Linked DNA regions of Alligator mississippiensis. The protein of the gene in region 1 binds, or shares a complex with, the protein of each later gene. Links are inferred from orthologs where the notes say so. Each region holds a gene or a part of one and is shown in the gene's direction. Other genes may lie near its edges. The genes, in order: ING3 and ANP32E.

Region 1 (10,466 bases):
CATTCACATTCTTAAAACCCCATTGTTGATTGTATCAGAAGACTGATTTTGACCTGAACTGAGTTGTCTAAACAGTAACTCAAGCTCCTGTCCCAAAATACTATAATACTCACTCTTCTTGAAGGAGAAAAAACAAATTCATATTAATTTTACAAGAGCTGTTAATATTCTCACTTTAAAAAAAGACATGGTATGACAAACATTTTTAAAAAATGACTTCATGTCCCCAAATTTCCCAAAACTCATTCAGCTTTTCTCTAAAGAAAACAGGATACAACTATCTTAACCTAAGATTTTGGGCTGAGTTTTCTTTTAATGTGAAGCCCTTTGACTTCAGTGAGTAGATAAAGATTCATCAATCCTCAGCTGCAGAAAGGATCAGAGTCTTAGTCCCCTGCACAACAAATTGTGTAGAAACAATTTTGTGTAGAAACAGGCTTCCTTTCCTGTCTCATTTTTGTTAAGTATCGGCATGCTATTCCTTCTGTAATGAAAATGACTCATTTAACTAGCTTGCTCTCATTTAATGGAGTTCTCTGACAACTTATAGCTGCTCTTCAATTAATTACTTAAGTTAATTTTATATCGTCATTTTAGAATCAGAGGTTGATAACACTGTGACCTTTCTGTAGAATTCAATGCATTCAATGAATTGAACTTATATTTAATAATGCAAAGCAGCTGGTTAAGATTATATATGAAGGACTTTATAAGTAAAATTTTTTGAGCCCAGTTTTCCTCCTGCCCAGGCAGGGGGTCAGACTCAAAGATCTACAAGGTCCCTTCTGACCCTACTTCTATGATTTTATGAAAATGGGTTTCCTCATTTATCTTAAAATGTCTCATGACAATCATCAATATTTGTCATTTTAGCTCCATGCATTGCACTTGGACAATGGGGTGTTTCCTGTAAGCAATATGGTACAGAGCTTGTCATCTAGGACAGTGATTCTCAACCATGCTGCTGTGGCATCCTAAAGCAGGGTTGGGCAAAATGCAGCCTGGGGGCTGGGTACGGCCCGCCAGGCCATTCTATCCAGCCCGCGGGGCCATTAAAACATTTAGAAAATTAATATTTATCTGCCTCTGGCTGCCTATCATGCAGCCCTCGTTGGCTTGCCAAAACTCAGTAAGCAGCCCTCCACCCAAACTAATTGCCCACCCCTGCCCTAGAGTGTCATGACATTCTTTTAAGGGTGCCACAGGGTTCCATGCAATACTAGCACTGTTAGGTGTGTAAACACCCACAAATGATTCATTAGATAAAGCCAGAGATTTCGAATAGGAATTCATAGTGTCAAGAGGATTCTTATTGCAGTTTTTCTGAGTTATTTGCAATGAAAGAATTGCTCTATTATTTTTTTTGTAGTAAAAAATGAGTGAAAGCTGAAAGCTGGCATTTTCTGAGGATGCCTCAAGTCTAAAAAGTTTGAGAATCACTGATCTAGGCCTTCTGGTTAATTGCAAAAGTATGATGTAATTTCTACCTAACAACTGTTCAATGACTGACATGGAATTAGCCAATGCTCTCAATCCAATTTTCCATGTATAAATGTACTCACCACAGAAATGCCAGAAGATACCAACTGTTAGTCATTGGATGTCTTTGCAGAATGGCCAAGGGTGGGATGTGTATGAAAAATGGGTGCTTAAATGCATGTGGAAGTGCCGGCGGCAAAACCAGAAATGCTGCTGGCACTTCTCTCAGGCGGTGCACCTCTATGCATCACCAATGCTTAAATGCAATCTTTCTTGAAGAAATCAACATTCATTGTTCTCAGACCTTTTTAGAAAAGCCTCTGTAGGTCACCACAATATAGGACTTTTTAAAATGTCTTTTTTTTTTTTTTTACATAATGTTTGTCCAAAAATAGTGAAAAGAAAACTATTTTCCACATATCCCAGATAAAAAAAAAATATGTCTGAGATTTAAAATTCAAATGTATTTTAACTAGTTATACATCAAAACTCTTTAAAAACAAGAAAAGTATCTGTTCTGCCACAATGGACTGGAGAAGGACTAACATAATACCCATCTCTAAAAAGGGGGTGGGAAATTACAGATCAGCTTTCCTGACTTCAATACCTGGGAAGTTACTGGAATAAACAATAAAACAGCCAGTTTGTAAACACCTGAAGGAAGAAGAGGTGATCACTAGTATCTGGCATGTATTTGCTAAGTGCAAAACATGTCAAACTATTGTGATTCCTTTCTTTGACAGGATAACTAGTTTGACAGACATAATGTACTTTGACTTTAGTAAGGTCTTGGTAGGTCCTACATGGCATTCTTATAAGTAAATTAGAGAAATAAGGGCTAGATAAAATCACTGCTAAGTCGAAACATAACTGGCTAAATAACCACAAGAAGAGAGTTACTATAAATGAATCAATGTCAGAACAGCCCAAAGTCTCACAGGGGTCTGTTATGTATCCTGTACTGTTTGACATTTTTATTAATAATCTGAAGGAACAGCAAGTTTCTCAATCAAGTTACAGAGGACATACAAGTGGGACGGCTTGCAAACTTTCTACAGGACAGAACAGGCCATAGCCTGGAGTTCCTCTCCTTTTCCTTCCTCTGCTCTCTCGTCTGCTTTGAGGGCAGGATGCTTTACCTTGAAACAGGCAACTGCTTGGTTGAGGCTGTGGCATCACTGGAGTCTGTTGGCAGCCAGCTGCTCCGAGCTCTTGATGCTGTCATCCATTTGTTCAGGTATGCCTTTAATGTGTCCTTGTAGAATTTCCTCTGGTCACTGCGATCTCTCAGGCCATAAGTGAACGGGGAGTAGATCACTTGTTTTGTAAGCTGAGAGCCAGACATCCACACACAATGCCCAGACCAGGGAAGTTGGTGCTTGAGGATTACTGACTCAAGCTGGTAACACTGGCTTTAGCAAGGATGCTGGTGTTTGTATGGCAATCTTCCTATTTGATGTGGAGAATTTTTCCAGGTGCATTATTGGTAATACCTATCTAGGCTCTTGAGATGACAATGGTAGGTCATTCTCATTTCACATCCATAGAGAGAAGTGGGAATGATGACTGCATTGTAGACCTGGATCTCGGTGTCTTTCTGGAGATCACAGTGAATAAAGATAGGCTGCAGCAATTTTCCAAGGGAGGCACTTGTGTACCAGATCCCGTGCTGCAGTAGCAACACATAGCGGGTGAATGGGGGTGCATGTGCACCCCCTGAGCACGCTGGTGCACCCTGTGACCAGCCACACTCCCCACTTAGGCAATGAGCGGGGGGCCGGGGGGGGGGGTGGCAGGCAGGAGCACCAATGTACCCCCTGCAAATGCTGGCCAGAGAGTGGGGGAGCCGATGTAGCACCATGGCCACTTCCAGAAGCACTGCAGCCACTTCCAGGTCAGCAAGTTTTTCTGCGGGGGAACTCTTACCCCCCAGGTGGCAAGATTGGCTGCGATTGCTGACTGGTCACTGGCACGTGCCCCCCCTGACTAAGACGGCACCAGTTGCCCATGCTGTGCTGGATCTCCTCATCAGTGTTCACTCTCTGAGAGGTAGCTACTGAGGTAGGGGAAGTTCTTGAATACCTCCTAGGTCTTTCCCTCAATGGTAATTTGGGTCATATTCATGGCCTGCAATGGGCTGATAGACCACTTCTTCTCGATATTGAGAGGGAGACCCAAAGTTCGGTAGGCTTTTGCAAAGAGATCTGGTGTGGTCTGGAGGTTTTCCTCAATGTATGCAAGGATGGCACACTTGTCAGAAGGTGGATGTTTTCAGAACTTTGGTCTTTGAGGGAAAACATCCCAAATTGAAGAGTACTCCATCCGTTTGATATTCAGTGTCAGTTCTGGAAGTAAGGTGGTCCTTAATGAGAACCAGGATGACTGTCAAAAAAATGGAGATCAGCATTAGAGTAACGATGCATCCTTGCTCGACTGCAGTTCAGATGACACATGGATCTGTTTCTGATCTGCTGCAAAGACTGCTCGTAGTCGTCTGGTCATGGAGAAGGCGTAGAACCTTGAAGAACTTTTCAGAAGTCAGTACTTTCCACAGGGGTTTGTGACTGGTGGTCACAATCAGAGGCCTTAGTAAGCTCACTGAAGGCCATGTACAGGTCCTGATATTGCTGAATGAAGCCAATGTTACCAGTATTAAGGTAGTGATACTCAAGCACCAACTTTGCTGGACCAGACATTGGATGTACATACAAAGCTCACAGAAGTTAATCGCAGTCCACTGACTTTATGTCAGGCCCATTTCATGTTTTGTTATATACACCAGTGTACCATTAGATATGAAAAAGGAGCTATTCATGACAGCATATGAAATGGGTACATACTGCATGGCATTTGTACAAAAAAAAGTGTGCAAGTTATATATATTGTCATCTCATGTGGTATTAGTGTCATATTATCAATCTTACATATTAAGAAATAACAACAACCAAAAATGTATATATATCACAAAAATGTTGACTTTATTCTCATGCCTGAAAAGGGCATTTTGTGCTTGAAACCTTGTTTAACACATATGCAAATTGTAAGATTTTAAATAATACTGTATTTCAGGTTCCTTTTATGTAGCTTCTAATTTTGGGGAGCAGATGGGGGGCAAGGGAGGCTTTAAGGCACTTTGATTCAGTACCTCAGGCACATCAAAAGCAGCAAATTTAGATTGACTTCCAGTTCTGTCTCATATACCCCAGAATTCTGCGCTATTGTAGGAATATTTGCAGAAATTGGGTGGCAAATTCTGAACGCAGAAGTGATTGATGAAGGCAGTGAATGCAATGAAACCTACTATGGAGCTCTGCTCCAAGGACTTTTTTGCATTGAAGAATGTGGGGGGCTTAACATGTGGTGCGATGCGTTAGCCAGGGTTTGAATGACACTCTGACTCTTTGTGTGGGGGGTCTGTGGCAGTGGCAGCCGGAAGCTGGAAGAAGCCACTGCCGTTGCCTTAAGTGCTTAGAAAGGCACGGGGTGGGCTGGGGGCCCTCATCTTTTTTTGGGGGGGGGGCGCTCTTGTCTCTTATGGGGACCCCCCCGTAATTCAAACCCTAGTGTCAACCAGGAGGGCTAGAAATATATGTAAAAAACTGAAAGCTGAGATCCTCCTGAAATAACATGACCCCAGGAGCTAGAGCTCTCAGGAACAGGAGCGGGGGCACCTCCAAAAGAGATTGAGAGGTAGCAACTCCAACTTCCAGGAGGGAAAAACCCTATGTCAACTATGAGGGCTAGAAATATATGAAAAGCTGAGCTCCTCCTAAAAAAACGTGACCCATTCAGATGTGCTTCAGGCCTTTGGGGCAGGAATACGAGCGAGTCACTGAGAAGCTCCACTTTGCCGCCCTGCACTTGGCACCGCAAGAACTTCCACTGTCCTGCCGCGCGGGATGAGGCCCCAGCTGGGCGCGGAGCCTCCTGGGACATGTAGTCCCCGCCCCCTTCCCCGCCGGGGTCCCCAGCGCGACTACACGTCCCAGGATGCTGCGGGGCCCGGGTACGTCAGCGCGGGCGGCAGCCAATCGCAACGCGGTTAAGGCGAGTGCCCGCCGCCGCCAATGTTGTTTTCGCTGAGTCGAGCTGCTGGCGTTGTTGGCGGCGGCGCCATATTGGAAGGGACGAGCCCGTTAGCGAGGAGCCCCTGGGCGCGGGCCCGGCCCGGCCGCCGCCATGCTGTATCTGGAGGACTATCTGGAGAGTGAGTGCGTGCGGCGGGGGGGGGGGACGGCGGCGCGGTGCGGGGGCGAGGGCGGCGCGGCGGCTCCCCTGCCTCCGGCGGCGGCTGACCCCCTCCCCCCGTGTGCCCGCAGTGATCGAGCAGCTTCCCATGGATCTGCGCGACAGGTTCACCGAGATGCGCGAGATGGACCTGCAGGTGCAGAGTACGTGAGTCCCGCCCCGCCCCGCCCCGCGCTCCCCTCCCCCCTCCTCCCCGCCCGCGGGGGGCGGGCCCAGCTCCAGCCCCCGCCCCACGCTCGGCCCCGGGCGCTGCCCCGCGGGGAGGCGGTGCCGCCGCTGCTGCTGCCGGGGCCGCGCGCAAAGAGGGGCGGAGCGCTGGAGCCCCGCGTGCAGGCGGTCCCCGGGGGCGGCGCTGCTGCCCTGCCGCTTCTCCTGGCAGCGGCTGGGTGCCCGCGTGGGGGCAGCAGCGCCAGGCTGCGCTTCCCCGGGGCGGCAGAGAGCTGCTGAGCGGAGTCTCCACGTGGGAGACCAGAAGACCCAGGAGGGGGCGACACTGCCTGGTCCTGTCTGCAGCTTTTTTTCCCCCTCCTTCTCCTTCTTCCTCCTCCTCCCTGTTTTATTCTTCAGTTTCATTGCCGTGTTGTTGCTTTGCATGGACTTGCTTGATTTCTACTTGGGGTCACCAAGTCTGTTTGAATCTGTTCCAGGAGGCTTCATCACATGATGTAATGACAGTCAGGAAGGCAAATGCACATGACTGTTGCGTTTTAAAAACCCACTGGACAACTGTATAAATCAGAGGTTGACACTTAAACGATAGGGCATTTATTAAAAGAAATATTATCTCCTGGGTGACTCAGCAGTCTCCTGGAAATTTATCTCCAATTCCTGGAGGGTTGGCAACTCTATTTCAACCCCACCTGCCTTGTCACCTTGGTGGCACCCATATGCAACCTCATGCCTGCTGTGGGCTGACACCTCAGTTACAGCACGAGGTCTTGGTGTTTGCGCTGGTGTCTGGACTGTGAAATAGCATTTCTATTTCTCTGGTCCTCGAGATCATCCCGTTCTTCCTGGGTGAGATCCCAGTCCACAACTCCAAACTTTGTGTTGCCAGCAAATAGCGTTTATGCATCCCATGCTCCGTCTTTTTCAGGCTACAGTGCTTGAAATCCATGGGACTCCACTCATGATATGAGGCAATGTGTTCTTTTAAAGAGTAAGGCAGAACTAAGAGTAAACAAGCTCAAGTTGAGACCACATGAGTGGCAGAATATGTTTGGGGAGCTGGCCAAATCACATCTATTCATCCTCAAAGTTTTAGTCCCACTTTTAATGCTTTTTTTTTTTTCTCTTGTGCTGTGTCAGGTACTAAATCTCTTCACAGAAACTCTTGATAAACCTGAAGAAGGGTGTTTGTGCCTGAAAGTTTGCAAAGAACAATTTTTCCTACTACTCAGTTGGTCTAATACAGGAGCGGGCAATTATTTCAGGCAGAGGGCCACTTACCGAGTTTTGGCAAGCTGTAGAGGTCCGCATGGGTAGCTTCGTTCCTTGCCAGGTGCCCCGCTCCCTGGTCACCATCTTGGGACTGGAAGTCCCACCTGCTTAACCTCTGACCTTTGCCACCAGAAGTCCCTCTCCTTGCCCCTGCAAGTACTCCTTTGGGGAAGAGGGTTTGCCATCTAAGGTGGTGGTGGAAATAAATTATATAGTAAAAGTCAGGCACCCATAATGATATATTTTAATTTAATTTAAAAAAATATTATTATCTGATTTGTGTGTGTTTGTGCTATATATGTAGAAGTGATTGCATAAAAGCTCAAAATACAGTCGTATACTGTGTCGGGTGTGCATGGGTGTCAGGAGGTATGGGGTAGGTGGTTTGTGGGGAGCTTTGTGTGGTTGGGTATGGGGGTTTGTTGGGATGTCTCTGGGTATGGTATTGTGGGTATGGGAGACACAGGGTGCAGAGCGGCCAGCGGGTGGGCAGGAAAGTGGGCATTTCCCTGCTTGCATCCCCCTGTTCTCAGCTGTGCGCAGGAGTGGAGGGTCCTGCCCAGCCTGGCGCGGTCCTGGTGCATGGGCAGCACCTTATTGGGCTCATCCATCACCGTGGGAGCAGGACAGAGCACACAGAGCCAGCTGCCTCCCTCTTGGGGCTGCCCTGCTGCCTACACGTAACTACCGGTAGCGGAAGCCACGGCTCCCATCTGGCTGCGCACACCCACTCGCTCCTAGCCCCGCCAGCCCTAGCCCTGTGGCACAGGCAGGGATGACTGCAAGCAGCCCTGACCCCACGTGCCCCACCCTCGCCTGTGGGCTGAGCACCGTTGGCAGTGGGGAACAAGCTGCTGCTCAGCATGAGAGAAAAGTAGCCATTCCCCCTCCTGCCACCTGTGCTCCCTGTGGCAGCCGCCCAGAGCCCATGCAGGGCTGTCCTGCCTCTCCTCTGTGCCCCTGCCACCCATGGGGCAACTGTGGCAATGGAGAACGGGCACAGGCAGCCCCACGTGGCCTCCAAGCAGATGTTGCAGGGAGTGCCAGTGGCGGGAGGGGGAGGGACCGCTTTTCCCCTCAGTTGCAGTTTGTTCCTCACTGCTGCTGCCAGCCTGGGCCCTGCACTGGCTCCAGGCTCGCCCATCAGGCTGAGTAGTAGCAGGGCACGAACTGCTGCCAGGGCAAATGAAAATACACCCCCCTTACCACCTCTGGGCTGTGTTTGCTGGGGGAGCCCACACCATGCTAGGCTCCGCTGCAGCTCTTTTGCTGCCGGCTCTGTGCTGCCCAGTGCTGCTGCTTCACGTGGCCACAGAGCTGGCGGCAAAAGAGCCACAGCAGAGCCTAGCGTGGAGCAGGCTCCAGCAAACTGCCCAGCGGAAGGGGGAGTGCTTTTCCTCTGCACTCAGCTGCACTTTGTTTGTCACCGCTGTTGTCAGCCTGGGCGCCGCAGCGGCTCCAGGTTCACTCAGTGGCCTGAGCAGCAGCAGTGGCAGAGCACGAAAAGCTGCTGGAGCGGCAGAAAAGCAGCTGCTTCACCTCCCACCACCGGTGCTCCCTGTGGCAGCTGCTTGGAGCCCACACAGGGCTACCTGTGCTCTCTCTCCACTGCCACCACTGCTCCATGGGTGGTGGGGACATGGTGGACAGACAGGATAGCCCCAAATGGGCAGGGAATGCTGGCAGCAGGAGGGGGAGGGGCAGCTTTTCCCTCTTGCTGAACTATTGGCTTGCTCCCTGCTGCTGCTGTTGCTCAGCCCGGATGGACGAGCACAGGGTGTGCAGGATCAGTGCTGTTTGCGGTCATTCCCACCTGTGCCCGCCACGGGGCTGGGAGCAAGCAGGCACGTGGCAGCTGGGCAGGAGTGTGGGACCTGTGCCAGTGCCAGCACCGGCATGGCCCAGAGCAGGCGACAAGAGTGCAGGGTCCCAGCTGGCTGGGGCTCTTTGGAGCTGGGCCAGCTCCCCTCTCCCTGCTGGCACAGTGGAGCCCAGCTCCATAGACCCCTGCCATCCTACACCCCATGTTCCTGCCACTTGCTCTGGGCCCTGCCAGCGCTGGCCCCGGGACACTGGCATAGGCCCCACACTCCTGCACGCCTGCCCCCACTACCACTTTCCCCACTTCCTCTTTTTACCTGAATTTCCTTCTCAGGGGCTTCTGGTTGTGGGGTGGGTCTGGGTGGACCCTGCTATTGCAGGAGCCTGCTGGGGCTTCCCCTGGGTCCTACTGCCCCTGGCTGTTGTCATCTTTGACAGACAGCTGGGGCAGACAAATATTAATTTTCTAAATTTTTTTTAGGGGCTCCACAGGCCAGATAGGATTTGGCCCATGGGCCATATTTTGCCCACCCCTGGTCTAATACAAGATATCACATTTACCTAAAGAACCTTGTGTGCCTTCATAAACACAACATTTAGGCCCTGGAAGTCTGTAGGAAATGTTTTGACATGCACCTTGTGTTCCCAGTAACTTTTGCATAGCAAGAGAGAGCATCTTTAAGCATTGTAGAAATTTCAGGCTCCTTTCTCATCTCTTCTGGTCTAAGTACTTGTGAGGATTCCCACCAGTTAAATGCTATAGATAAACCAGAAGAATCTTCTGGCAGTGCAGAATTCCATATTTCCACATTTTGAACAACTGTTTAGTCAGCTGACTCCTAAGTTAGTGATGGCTCAGAAATCTGCAGGTGCTGCGACTCGAGCACCTGGCCAAAAACTTCTCTCCATTAGAATTTGAGCTGCTCTTGGATCATATCTTGCACCAGCTAATGAAGGGGTATTTCTTGCCACCAAGCAGTAATGGAAAAAGTGTAAGTAGCAGGTTACAACTATTCCATTTGAGATAACCATGGCGATATTGAAGCTCAGCTGAATTGTATCCAGACTTTTGAGCCTTGAAGTGGAGATTTTTCAAGTGAAGTATTTATTGTCTTTCTGGCTTTCCATCCAGAGTGGATGGATGGTCAAGAAGAAGCTTGTGCACTAGAGAGTAACTCCTTTGAAGATTTGAGAAAGCAAGGGTAGAAAAGTCACCCCCCGTTCTCTTGGGTTCCAGTTACCCACACGAAAAAGGGTGCTTGCCTTTACTTTAAGGACAACCTTCTAGAGGCATGACACACTTCAAAGGGATTCACTTTTCACTTGACATCTTATCTGGCCTCAATGGTATTAGCACAGACAAAGGTCCTAACGATTTTTTTTAATGTTGAAAAAAGTCACTGTCAGTCATGTGAAGACCTCATTGTCTGGAAAAAGAATTAGTGACTTCAGGCCTTTACGTTGTAAGCTAGTGGTTT
Region 2 (10,480 bases), on another chromosome or scaffold:
AGGCTAGCAGGTGTGCTCCAGGAAGAGAGTTGGCCAGACGTGAGGCACCCCCAGGGAGGCGCTCGGAGCCTTAAAGGTGATCGGGTGCAGGGAGGTGGGTGGCTCAACGCAGGAGCACCCCTACTGGCCCACCACAGTATGCACATGCAGTGGAAACTTTAGAGTCATGGGAAGTGCCTGTTAAAGAGAAGCGCAGGCAGTGGAAGTGGCCAGGATGGCCACAGCTGAGCAGTGCTTGGAGGCGTTAGATCAAGTATTTGGAGGAGTGACCCAGGGGGGCACACTGCAGTTTGACTTGCATAACACTTGTCAAGCAAAAGGAGTCGGTTTCCGCGTTTATACCGCGATTGGGTTTCTATGGGACATGGCTGAAGTGCCAGCTGGAAATCTCAAAAGTAGCAACCCTGTCTTCTAGCAAGCTAGTAGGTAGCATGAAAAAAACGTGAAAAATATATTTTTGAAAATGAAGAGATACTTGCAGCTATATACCTAGATCCTAGGTATCAATTGCTGCTGACTGACATGGACATAACTTAAACCAAGTGTCATCTCATGTCAACATGGCAGAGGATGGGAACCATCATCCATAGCAATGGCAGGAATGTAGACTCATCCGTTAACTCTAATCTGCATACGACACACAGAAGAAAGGATGACAAGTTGGAATCATCCCTTCAGTCAAGAGAGAACTTGAAGCAGCAAGTCACTGTCTTCTGGCACAGGTGAAACAGGATTGGTCCCTGTCTGACTCGTTTGTGGATGAGCCACAATTGAATAAAGACGTAAATATATTGAATTACGGGTAGACTCAGAAAATATCTAGATGTGAGCTGTACCAATTTTTCAGGTTGCCTTGTCAGTGCCATCAACTCGAGTAAGCATGGAACAAGCATTTTCAACTTGAAAGTCCATATTGTCACCACAAAGATCCAATATGAAGGAGGCAATCTTGAAGGATGTTGTTAATGAGACTGCATAGAAATGACAGACAGCTGTAATACTGAGTACAAAACAATGCAAGTCAAGCGTGTCGGGAATATGATAGGCCTAAGATCCATCTGTTTAAGGTTGATAATTCTGTTTCCCTAGTTTTATTAAATGAGTTGAAAACTATATAATCTTGAGAAGTTAACTAACTAATCACAGGGACAGTTCTATGATTATTTACTAGGTCCTTTTCTTTTCCTTCCTCTTTAAAACTGCTTCTTTAAATTTGCTTCTTCACCTATTACACGTCTCTGATTGTACAATTAAAATTAAACAATACAAATAAAATAAGCATTTATTTGTTAAGTACTTAGAATTTATTTTTTGTTTCACGCGTGCTTCGTAGTACTTATTGCTGACACTTCGTTGGCAACAGTCATTTAGCTTGCTCCACCCCACTATGCAAATGACCATCATTATAAATTATGTACCTTATTTAAATTTTCTCATGTGAACCAGAACTGAACCAGTTGGTTGTGTGTGCCGAACCGGTTACTGAACCTTTATTGGCCTGAACCAGAACTAAACTGGAACAACTTCAGTTGCAGCTGAACCTGAACCAGAACTAAACTAAAAAATTTAATGTTCGACCCTGCTTTCATTTACTGTTGGAGAGCGCGTTGGGGTGGGCCTGCCCTGGTCGGCTGCAGGACGCAGCCCTGCTCTAAGCCAGCGACCTGAATCCTGCTGCGTGAGACATCAGGGATTGGGGTCAGGCTGAGGTTTGGGGCAGGGACAATTCGTGAGCCCCAAACACATTGTACGGTGTTGTGGTGCGATTACTGCAGGTTCTGCAAGAAAGGAAGAGGTCTCCGCTGCGCTTCTACTGGGCCCCACGCAGGGGATCCTGCCTTGAGGGCACCAAGGGCAGCTTAGGCAGGCACCACCTTGAAGCCTCAAAATCTCCAGAAAGGGAACAGGTCCTGGGGGCCAGACACCCTGAGAAGTCAAGCTGGATCTCCCCTACCTACTACATTCACTTTTCTTATCTAATATGTAAACTACTTTTATCTAACACCACGGCCCTTCTGTGGGGCAGCTGCAAACCACAGCGCCCCTGACAGCACCTCCAAGCACTTGCTGCCTTACATAATGTCATGGCTACGGTCCTGGGTGATGATGTGACTAGTCTCAGGTCCGTAGGGATGGCCAACGGGCTGGAGGGCGGTTTCTCAGCCCCCCACTCACACACACTGGACAATTGGACCACATGTACGCCCGAGTGAAGGCTCAAGCGACCACACTCCTGTGTAGGTGGGAAGGTTGCACATGAAGCTTGTACCTGAGGAGAGGTGCAAGAGTGCTCTGGAGCCGCGTGCCCAAGGGCCAGGGTGAAAAGTGATGCTGAGACAGTGAGTTTGTGCGATTGGCTCGCCAGGCAGCAAAGGCATGGGGGTGGCAGGAAGGAAAGCCAAGCTGCTCCCTAGCACCTGCTGTGAGAATTCTTCTCTGTGTCCTATAGCTGTTAGTACGGTTGGTGTATTGCTTCATTGATTTTTTTTTTTTTTTTTATTGTTCCTGTTGTTCAGTATATTGATGATTCCATGGGCAACTGCTGGCTCCTGATACCAGGGGGGCACCAACAGCCAAATGCCGACTGGAACCCGGGGGGGGGGGGGGGGGGGGGGGAGTTCCCAGCAGCCAATCGCCACTTCCAGCAGCAGCGCCAGCAGCAAACCCAGAAGTGCCACCGACACTTCTCTTGGCACCCCCACAATCTCAGGGGGCACCAGCTAGCACCCCCCACTCCCCAGCCAGCAAGGGCCAATCTCAGGGGGGGCATGTGCCCCCAACTACACATTGCCTATGGTTGATTCCCCTCTATTTTGTGTCAACATTTATTACTAATTATTTTAGTGGTGAGTGGGACCAAACTGCAGGCCTATGCTCAGTGAGGGTTCGCCCCCACCCCTTTTTATTTACTGTTGAGCTAGTTAATCCCCAAATTCGTGTGTTTGGCATTAATGCTAATACAACAGCCAAATTGAAAAAATTGAAGGTCTGTTTTTACACTAATTTGCCCCAAACCCCAAGCCTAAGGCAGGCTGAGTGGGGAAAGCCAGCAGGGGAACTATCAAGGCTTCTGTTCCCAGGCCTACCGCTGACTCGCATGGACACGGGGTGGGCACCAGATATATTTGTGCCTTTGTTTGCCCATCTGTAAAAGCTGTCTAATAGCACATCCTTGTTTTTTTAATGTTTTAGGGTCATTGCATGGCAAGATGTCACGGCTTTCCAAGTCACCTTCCCATAGAAAGAAAAAACTTTCTTCTCTTTTCTAGACTAAATAATCCCCGTTCCTCCAGCCTTTCCTCTTATGTTAGTGCTTTCCAGACTTTTAACCATTCTGGTTTGGTCTCTTCTGGGTTCTGCCCAGTTTGCCCACATCTTTCTGCAGGTGCTGGGCTCCAAACTGTGGTAGGTGAGGACCGCCCTGAACAAGAACTCACTTCATGCTGCACGTCTATGAACATAACCTAGGATGGCATTGCTTTCATACAAAATCATGCCGTTTACCCACATCAGCTTGCAATCCACTTGAACCGTAGCTCCTTCTCCACATGGCTTTAGCCTAGACAGTCATTAGTCTGTATTTGTGTATCTGATTCTTCTTTCCTCACTTGCCCTCGCTGAATTGCATCCTAATTCTTTAAGACCATTTCTCAGCTTTATCCAAATCATTTTGAATCTTAGTCCCGTCCTGCTGGAGGTTATCTGCAAATGCACAAAGCATGCACTTCATTCAACTGGTATTTGAACAGTACTGGACCAGAACGCATCCTGGAGGGCTCCACTCAATGCCTCCTTCTACTCTTTATATGCAATTATCCAATCAATTATGCGCCAACTTTGTATTAGTTGCACCTAGATGATATTGCCTTAGTTTGCTCGAGATAGTGGCACAGGAGCCTGTATCAAAAGCCATACTAAAAACAAGCGGTACATGGCATCCACTGCCTTCCCCCACCCCACGCACACCAGGCTCATTTACCTTGTCAGAGAAGACAATCAGATTGGTTACACCTGACTTGCCCTTAATAAAATCATGCTGTCACTTATCAGCTAGTTCTCTTTTAAGCGGTTACAAGTCTTTTTTTAATATATACATGCCCTCCAGCGTCTTCCCCAGCACTAAAATTAGACTGCTCTGCAATTTGCTGCATCTTCCTTTTCCCCTTTTCTAAACTACTGCATTTGTCCTCTTCCAGCTCTGAGACCTCACCTCACCTCTCAAACATAATAGGTCAATGAGCCTGCAATTAATTCAGCTAATACTTTGAGTGCTCTAGGATGAATCTCATCAGGTCCTGCTGGTTTGAAAATGCTAAGCTTACTGAAATAATCCCCAAATTGTTCTTTTCCTCCTCTGGGCTCACAGCAGTTCTCCCCTTTCTTGATGCTAATTGTGCTTGTCAACCTTTTCTGGGGAAATTTGATGAGAAAAAAGTATTTCAACCCTTTCTTCATCTGTCTAAGGATAGACTCCAGCAAACTCCTTTGCTCCTTGCCGTAGCTTCCCCAAAGAAACAGCATTGCTAAATTAGCATCAGTGCATTTCTTTGAAGAACGAACCATTTGCTTTAAGTCTGAGCTCTAGTGACGTTGATGATTCCCACCGTAACACTTGGGAAAAGGCCCATTATATTTCCAGTCAAAATCGTTTGCAGCTCTTCTACGTCTACGAAATCTCTCTCTGCCACAAGACCAAAAGATCTCACAGACAAAGCAAGAAGCTTAACACCCTGCCAGATGCTTTTGCAAACACAAGCAAGGGCTAGGCTTCTTTATTATACCCCAACCCTGTTTTCAGTGTTTCAGGGCACTGCCATCTGATAACGCAAAGCTACATATAACCTAGGAGAAAGGGCAGGACGGTGCCTTTCTCTAAACCAGTGGTTTCAATCTTCACTCGCAGCACCCCTCATTAGACCCGAGGCCCCCCCATAGAAGATGCCAGCTCTTTGTTTTCACTCATTTTTTGACTGAAGTAAAACCATGAAAAGTAATTCTTCTGTTGCAAAGAGCTCAGAAAGATCAATCAGCACGGACAAGGCAGAGCCGTTCTTAATGTTAGATCCCCATTTGAAATCTCTAGTTTTTTCTTGTGAATCTGGTTTGCTGTGGCCCCCCGATTGAGAATCGAGCTCTAGACCCTTTTCTCAGACCGTGGCAAAACCTGCCGCCACCTCTGAACTATCACCAAGAGGTTTTTTTCTTTGTTTTTTTCTTGACACCCACATTGTTAACTGCTGTCTAGGTCTTCATGGCCCAGTACCTACTGCAGCCTAATCTCTGGTCTTCTTGACAGGTCAAATCTCTGCTGCTCAGTGAACCCCGACCACACTATTCTCTTTCCTTAGAAGCTTCACCGCTACACCCGTCACGAGCTTGCAGTCCTTGTCTTCACGGCATTTATTGTTTCGGTTCTCTCATCGTACCAGTCCCTCGCACTAATCAAGGATGCCAGCCTGCATTGCCCGTTCCCCCTGAACCCGAGAGATGGTGAGGCCACAAATTTGGCAGCCTTTCTGAGCACTTTTGCTGCCCTTGCACGCCCCAACAACTGGGTATTTCCACAGCAGTGAACTAAACCCACGGTTCTCAATTTTTCTAGACGTCAGGCGCCCCTTAGAAACTACTGATTTCACCCGAGTGGTTTTTTTTGTCAAATGACAAATCATTTTTGCCTTGTCGCAAAGCGCTGAGAAAGCCCCCAACACCGCAACGATTTGAACTCTGTTGATTCCTGTATGAAAGCCCCTATGTTTCTCTTCTGGTGAATCACGCGTGCACGCCTAACAAGGCTAAACACTACCCGGCACGCCGCAGCACCCTCAAAAGCGACACCCCAGGATGCCGCGTGCCCTAATCAAAGCAAAAGGGCTTCGTTTGGGAATTGGGACCGGAAGCCAGCAGGTCCCAACACCACCCCTCCTCTTTCAAGCCCTTTGCACAAGTATCTGCCAGTTCCTTGCAGCAGTTTAACTAAATACACGTGTTATCTTTAGCCCGTCATGCTGCTAATCTCTGCCTTCGCACCTAACATCTACACAGGTCCCTTTTTTTGTTTTTAGTGCCCGTAACACTTCATTAATCTGCTTCTAGACACCCAGGCCTAACCCCCACAGACCAAACCACCAGAACCGCGTGGCGCATAATGGCGCCCAACCGCCGCCAACGGTCGCATTTAAAAGCTCGGAGCCTCGACGGGCGTCCGGCGGAGCCAATCGGCCGCCGCCGCGCGCCGCGCCGCTCCTCCAATGGAAAGCGGCGCATCGAGAGGAAGCGCTCGCCCCTTCCTTGGCCCCGCCCCGCCGGCCGCGGGGGGCGTGTCCTGGGCGAGGGGGCGCCGTGCGCCATGTCATGGAGGCTCAGTGCGCGCCCGGCTACTGAGCAGCGCGGAGCTCCGGCCGGCGGCGGCGGCGGGGGACGGCGGCGCGGGGGGCGGCGGCCCAGCTCTCCCTGCCCGCGCGGGCTCGGCCATGGAGATGATGAAGCGCGTGGTGCTGGAGCTGAGGAACCGCGCGCCCGAGAAGGTGAGCACGGGGCCGCCATGTCGCGGCGGTGCCCGGCGCTGCGCGTGCCCCGACCCGGCATGGAGGAGCCCCGGGCCCCAAAACACCCCTCCTCGGCGTGCTCCTTACTACGCATTTGTGCCTTATGGTGCATTCTCCTAATTATTCACCTCCCGGCCGTGTGTTATTATTATCATCATTATTATTATTATTATTATTGCAACGATAAGATTTTTTTTGGACTGGCCAAAGGCTTTTTCTGCCCGCTGCGCTGCTTTTCGAAAAGTGAAGGAGGGCTGGGAGCCCCTCCGCTGGGCACGGGCTCGCTGCGATCGCTGCTGCGGGCATCTGCTCTCCTTATTCGGCTGATTTTGGGGAAATTAGGAACTTGCTTTTCTTTTCCGCCTCCCCCTTTTTCCTTCGGTGAACTCCGAATCTGGGTCAGCCACCGCGATGCGCCCGCCATAAGTTTCTCGGTTGTGTTTGGGGGTGAGTTTTGGGGGGGAGGTGTTAAAGGATCCTTTTTAAAAATAAATGAATAAATCGACAGCTGCTTTTCTTTGGGGTGGGGAGAAGCCCGAAGTCGCGTGCCCCCCGCTCGCCCATCCCTCCCGCGCTGGCATTGCTGGCAGGATGGGTCTTCATTTATTTTTAACTTCTCGCTGGTGGAGGTTGTAAACAGGTCGTAGTGGCACCGAATCCATCTTAAAAAAAAAAAAAAAAAAAGATCACACCATCTGGGTAGATCCGACTTTGCTTTCCTCCAGCCGGCGATCGGAGAGGATCAGAAACCCTCTTTTCGTCAAAATTGGCCTGTGTCTCGGCTGACGTTTGGGGCTGTTTATTCAGGATTGGATCTATTATTACTTATCGTTATTATGATGATGGTGATGATGATTCTCTTCTTTCTCCTTCCCACCTCCACCCTCCCCGAGTTTTTTCAGCTCTGCCCAGAGAGCACATGATGGGGTAATGGCACCCTCCTCTCCTTCCCTTGCAGCCACACGGCTTATAACCGGCCTTCCTAATGGCTAAAGGCAGATAAGGCGATTGCTGCTGGGTCCTGCTCAGTCATCGGAGACAAGATAGGCTCCTGGCCGGTCCCTCCACCCACCGAGAGCAGTCAGGTTCGCGGTTGGGAGGTCATGAACAACGCAGGAGGGCTCTTCTCCCTGCCCGCCATGCAGCTACAGTCAGGTAGCTCCTTCCCTCCGCGAACTCGGCGCTGGGAGTGGTGCTCCAGTGTTGCAGAAAATGCCATCCCCTGCCGCTCCGGCGTGACTTCAAAACAAAAGTCCCGTGCAAGCCAGTGATGGCAAAACTTTATGGGGGGGGTTCTTTTTTTTTCTTTTTTTTTTTTTTTTTTCAATCCTCTTCCTTTGACGTCAAGTCCAGAAACGCAGCGCGAGGGGGCCAACGGCATCTTGAAAGTATTTCTCTTAACTTTTTAATCCCGAGCCATTTTGGTTCTGGCCAGCCTCAAGGCACTCGTGCTTACAAAAACAAATCGAGATGCGCAGAATTGAGATGTGATGTCTGAAGAGGCTTCGTCTATTGTTAAACGTACTTTTTTTCCACCCCCACCCTCCCCGAGGTGGCTGTAGGCAGGTGGTTATCTGATGCATGTTTTTTTCCCCTGCTGCGCAGGGAAAGATTGTGGCTGCGCTTTGCTTTTTAGGAGAGGGTCGTGGTTTTAGTTAATCTCCTGTAGTAATTTCATTGACTGCAGTGCCAGCTGCATGGAGAGCAGGCTGATCAACTTGCAGCCTCCGCTTCCCTGCTGTTAAACTCGGCCAACAAATGATTTGTCGCTCCAGCAGATGTTTTTGCATTTAGGTCAGTAAGGACGCTATCGACTGGCGTGTCTTGCTCTCCCCAAGAATAAAGTCCAGATAGGTTGATATTGCAAAGTGCTTTTACTCCACCCCAGCCTGGGTGACTGATTGCACAAAGATTCCCTGCATAAAAACTACTACTCAGATAAACAGTATATTTTTTAACAAGTTGACTGTGTTGGATTATTTTTTTAAAGCCTTTAAACTGTGGCTGGAGTTACCCCCCCCCCCCCAAATGGTTTTAGTCTTTCCCTTTTCTTCAGGGCAAAACCTGAACAACTTTGGGACTTGGAAACCACAAAACAATTCAAAGCTAGTCTCTCTGGTCAACTTTTTCTGCAGCAACATGAAATAAGATTGTAAACTTGAAACAAATGAGCAGCTCATGCCCACCAAAATAACTCAGAAGTCGCCAGTGAACAAGTGACTTTTTTAGTCATCTCTACAGATGACTCTTTCAGAGCTGAACTTCCCAGACTGGTGTTGCATTTAATCCTTTTCATTTGCAGCCGGATTGGTAAAATAGCAACTGTGGTCAGCCCACTTGTGGGGACATGGAGGACAGACAAGCAGAAAATGGATTTTTCCCTGCAAGATGTTCAGCGACACAGAGTAAATGCATCTAGAATGAAGAAGCAAATGCTTCAGTCTGGTGCATTATTAACCTATGATACTCCCTGCCTCAGTATTTTGAGGGTCAAAGCTATAGGGTTTACAAGAGGATTTGGTGCTTTTTTTCTGGCAAGTGAGGCTATACCCCCTTATTTTAAATAGTGAATGGGAATATAAACCCTCATCTGGGCATGAAGCAACCATTAAGTGATGGCTATGGAAGGAAACTATATGGGTAGGTCATTCTGTAATTGCCTAGTTGGCTTTTGGCTCCTTGCTTCTTCTGATGCATCTGTTCCTGGCTTTCATCAGAACCAGGACCATGGGTTTTTGTCCGGCCCTGTAAAGGACTGCGATTGTGAACTCTGTCTTGGTGGTTGTGCTTTCTGAAGCCAGCATGTTAACAAATAAATTAAGTTTTTTATCTTCTGGTTCTCTGTGATGGTGCTTCATACTCTGTTTACTTCCTCTCAAGGTTGATATGGTCGATGAGTTCAGACAACTCAAGTTCAGGTCTTCCCAGATGAGAAGCAAAGCCTGTCGTCAGGCTGCTGGTTTGACCCGAATTGCTTGCTTGGTTGAGGGTCCCTATTAAAGTAATAAGTGACATTCTGTTTTGTTTCAAGGTGACAGAGTTAGTGCTTGACAACTGCCGATCCAGCAATGGCGAAATTGAAGGTCTGAATGACTCCTTTAAAGAGCTGGAGTTTCTCAGCATGGCCAACGTAGAGCTGACATCCCTGGCCAAGCTCCCCACCTTGAGTAAGCTCCGAAAGGTATGCATCTTCAGACAAAAACCCATCCGTTCTCTCCTGCCAAAGTTGTATACCTTGAAACACACCAACAGTTAAACTACTTGCAAACGTGACTGTGACTATGGAAATACGCATCTCATTGAAATGTTTTACTAAACATTGCTAACTTAAGAATTAAGTCTTTAAGACCCTGAATGTAATTAATGCTGGTTTCAAACATTAATGAGCCAAAGTACTGAAAAAGTATCACTTGAAAACTGTGTTAACGATGGCCATCCCATTCTGTTGTAAAGAGAGGGGGTCGGGAGCAATCACATTAGGTGAAGTGCTGGGAACACTGAAGTCATTGTTCGTTACCTGTAAGGAACCAGTTTCAACCTAGTCTGTTGACCTAAAGCCTGTACAAAGATCCAATGCTATGTTTCACATCCCCGTGTAAAAAATAAAGCCTGGAAATATTTTAAGTTTGCACCATACTAAGTATGCTAACTGAGCAGTTGGAATCGGTGAGATCACTTGCCGACTTACAGTAGAACATGCTTAAGTGTCTGTAGGCACCCAAGTATGAAACTAGTTAATGAATTATCACTATCAAGTGCAGGTGTGAAGAGCTTCTGAAATAAATGTTAGGCTCTGAAGAGACGTACATGTGATCAACATGGGTTGCTATATTTTTAACCAGACTTCATTTTATGCAAGTAATCTGAGGTTTTACGGGCTCTACAGGAAGTCAATAGTCTTGTGATGCATTTGTTCTTTCAATAAAATACAGGCT

The links.
Region 2: ING3 (region 1) and ANP32E share a complex: the UniProt entries of both Homo sapiens proteins name them as parts of the SWR1-like complex. The link is inferred for Alligator mississippiensis from reciprocal best matches to the Homo sapiens genes ING3 and ANP32E.

The regions. Positions count from the first base shown.
Region 1 is NC_081827.1:46,129,105-46,139,570, reverse strand, and holds the start of ING3 (inhibitor of growth protein 3), read left to right. Parts: upstream 1-5,533; 5' UTR 5,534-5,658; coding exon 5,659-5,686; exon of another isoform or gene 5,687-5,689; coding exon of another isoform or gene 5,690-5,690; intron 5,691-5,798; coding exon 5,799-5,870; intron 5,871-10,466. UniProt on the Homo sapiens protein: Component of the NuA4 histone acetyltransferase (HAT) complex which is involved in transcriptional activation of select genes principally by acetylation of nucleosomal histones H4 and H2A.
Region 2 is NC_081838.1:18,368,108-18,378,587, reverse strand, and holds the start of ANP32E (acidic leucine-rich nuclear phosphoprotein 32 family member E), read left to right. Parts: upstream 1-6,369; 5' UTR 6,370-6,470; coding exon 6,471-6,524; intron 6,525-6,685; exon of another isoform or gene 6,686-7,207; intron 7,208-7,617; exon of another isoform or gene 7,618-8,198; intron 8,199-9,576; coding exon 9,577-9,726; intron 9,727-10,480. UniProt on the Homo sapiens protein: Histone chaperone that specifically mediates the genome-wide removal of histone H2A.Z/H2AZ1 from the nucleosome: removes H2A.Z/H2AZ1 from its normal sites of deposition, especially from enhancer and insulator regions.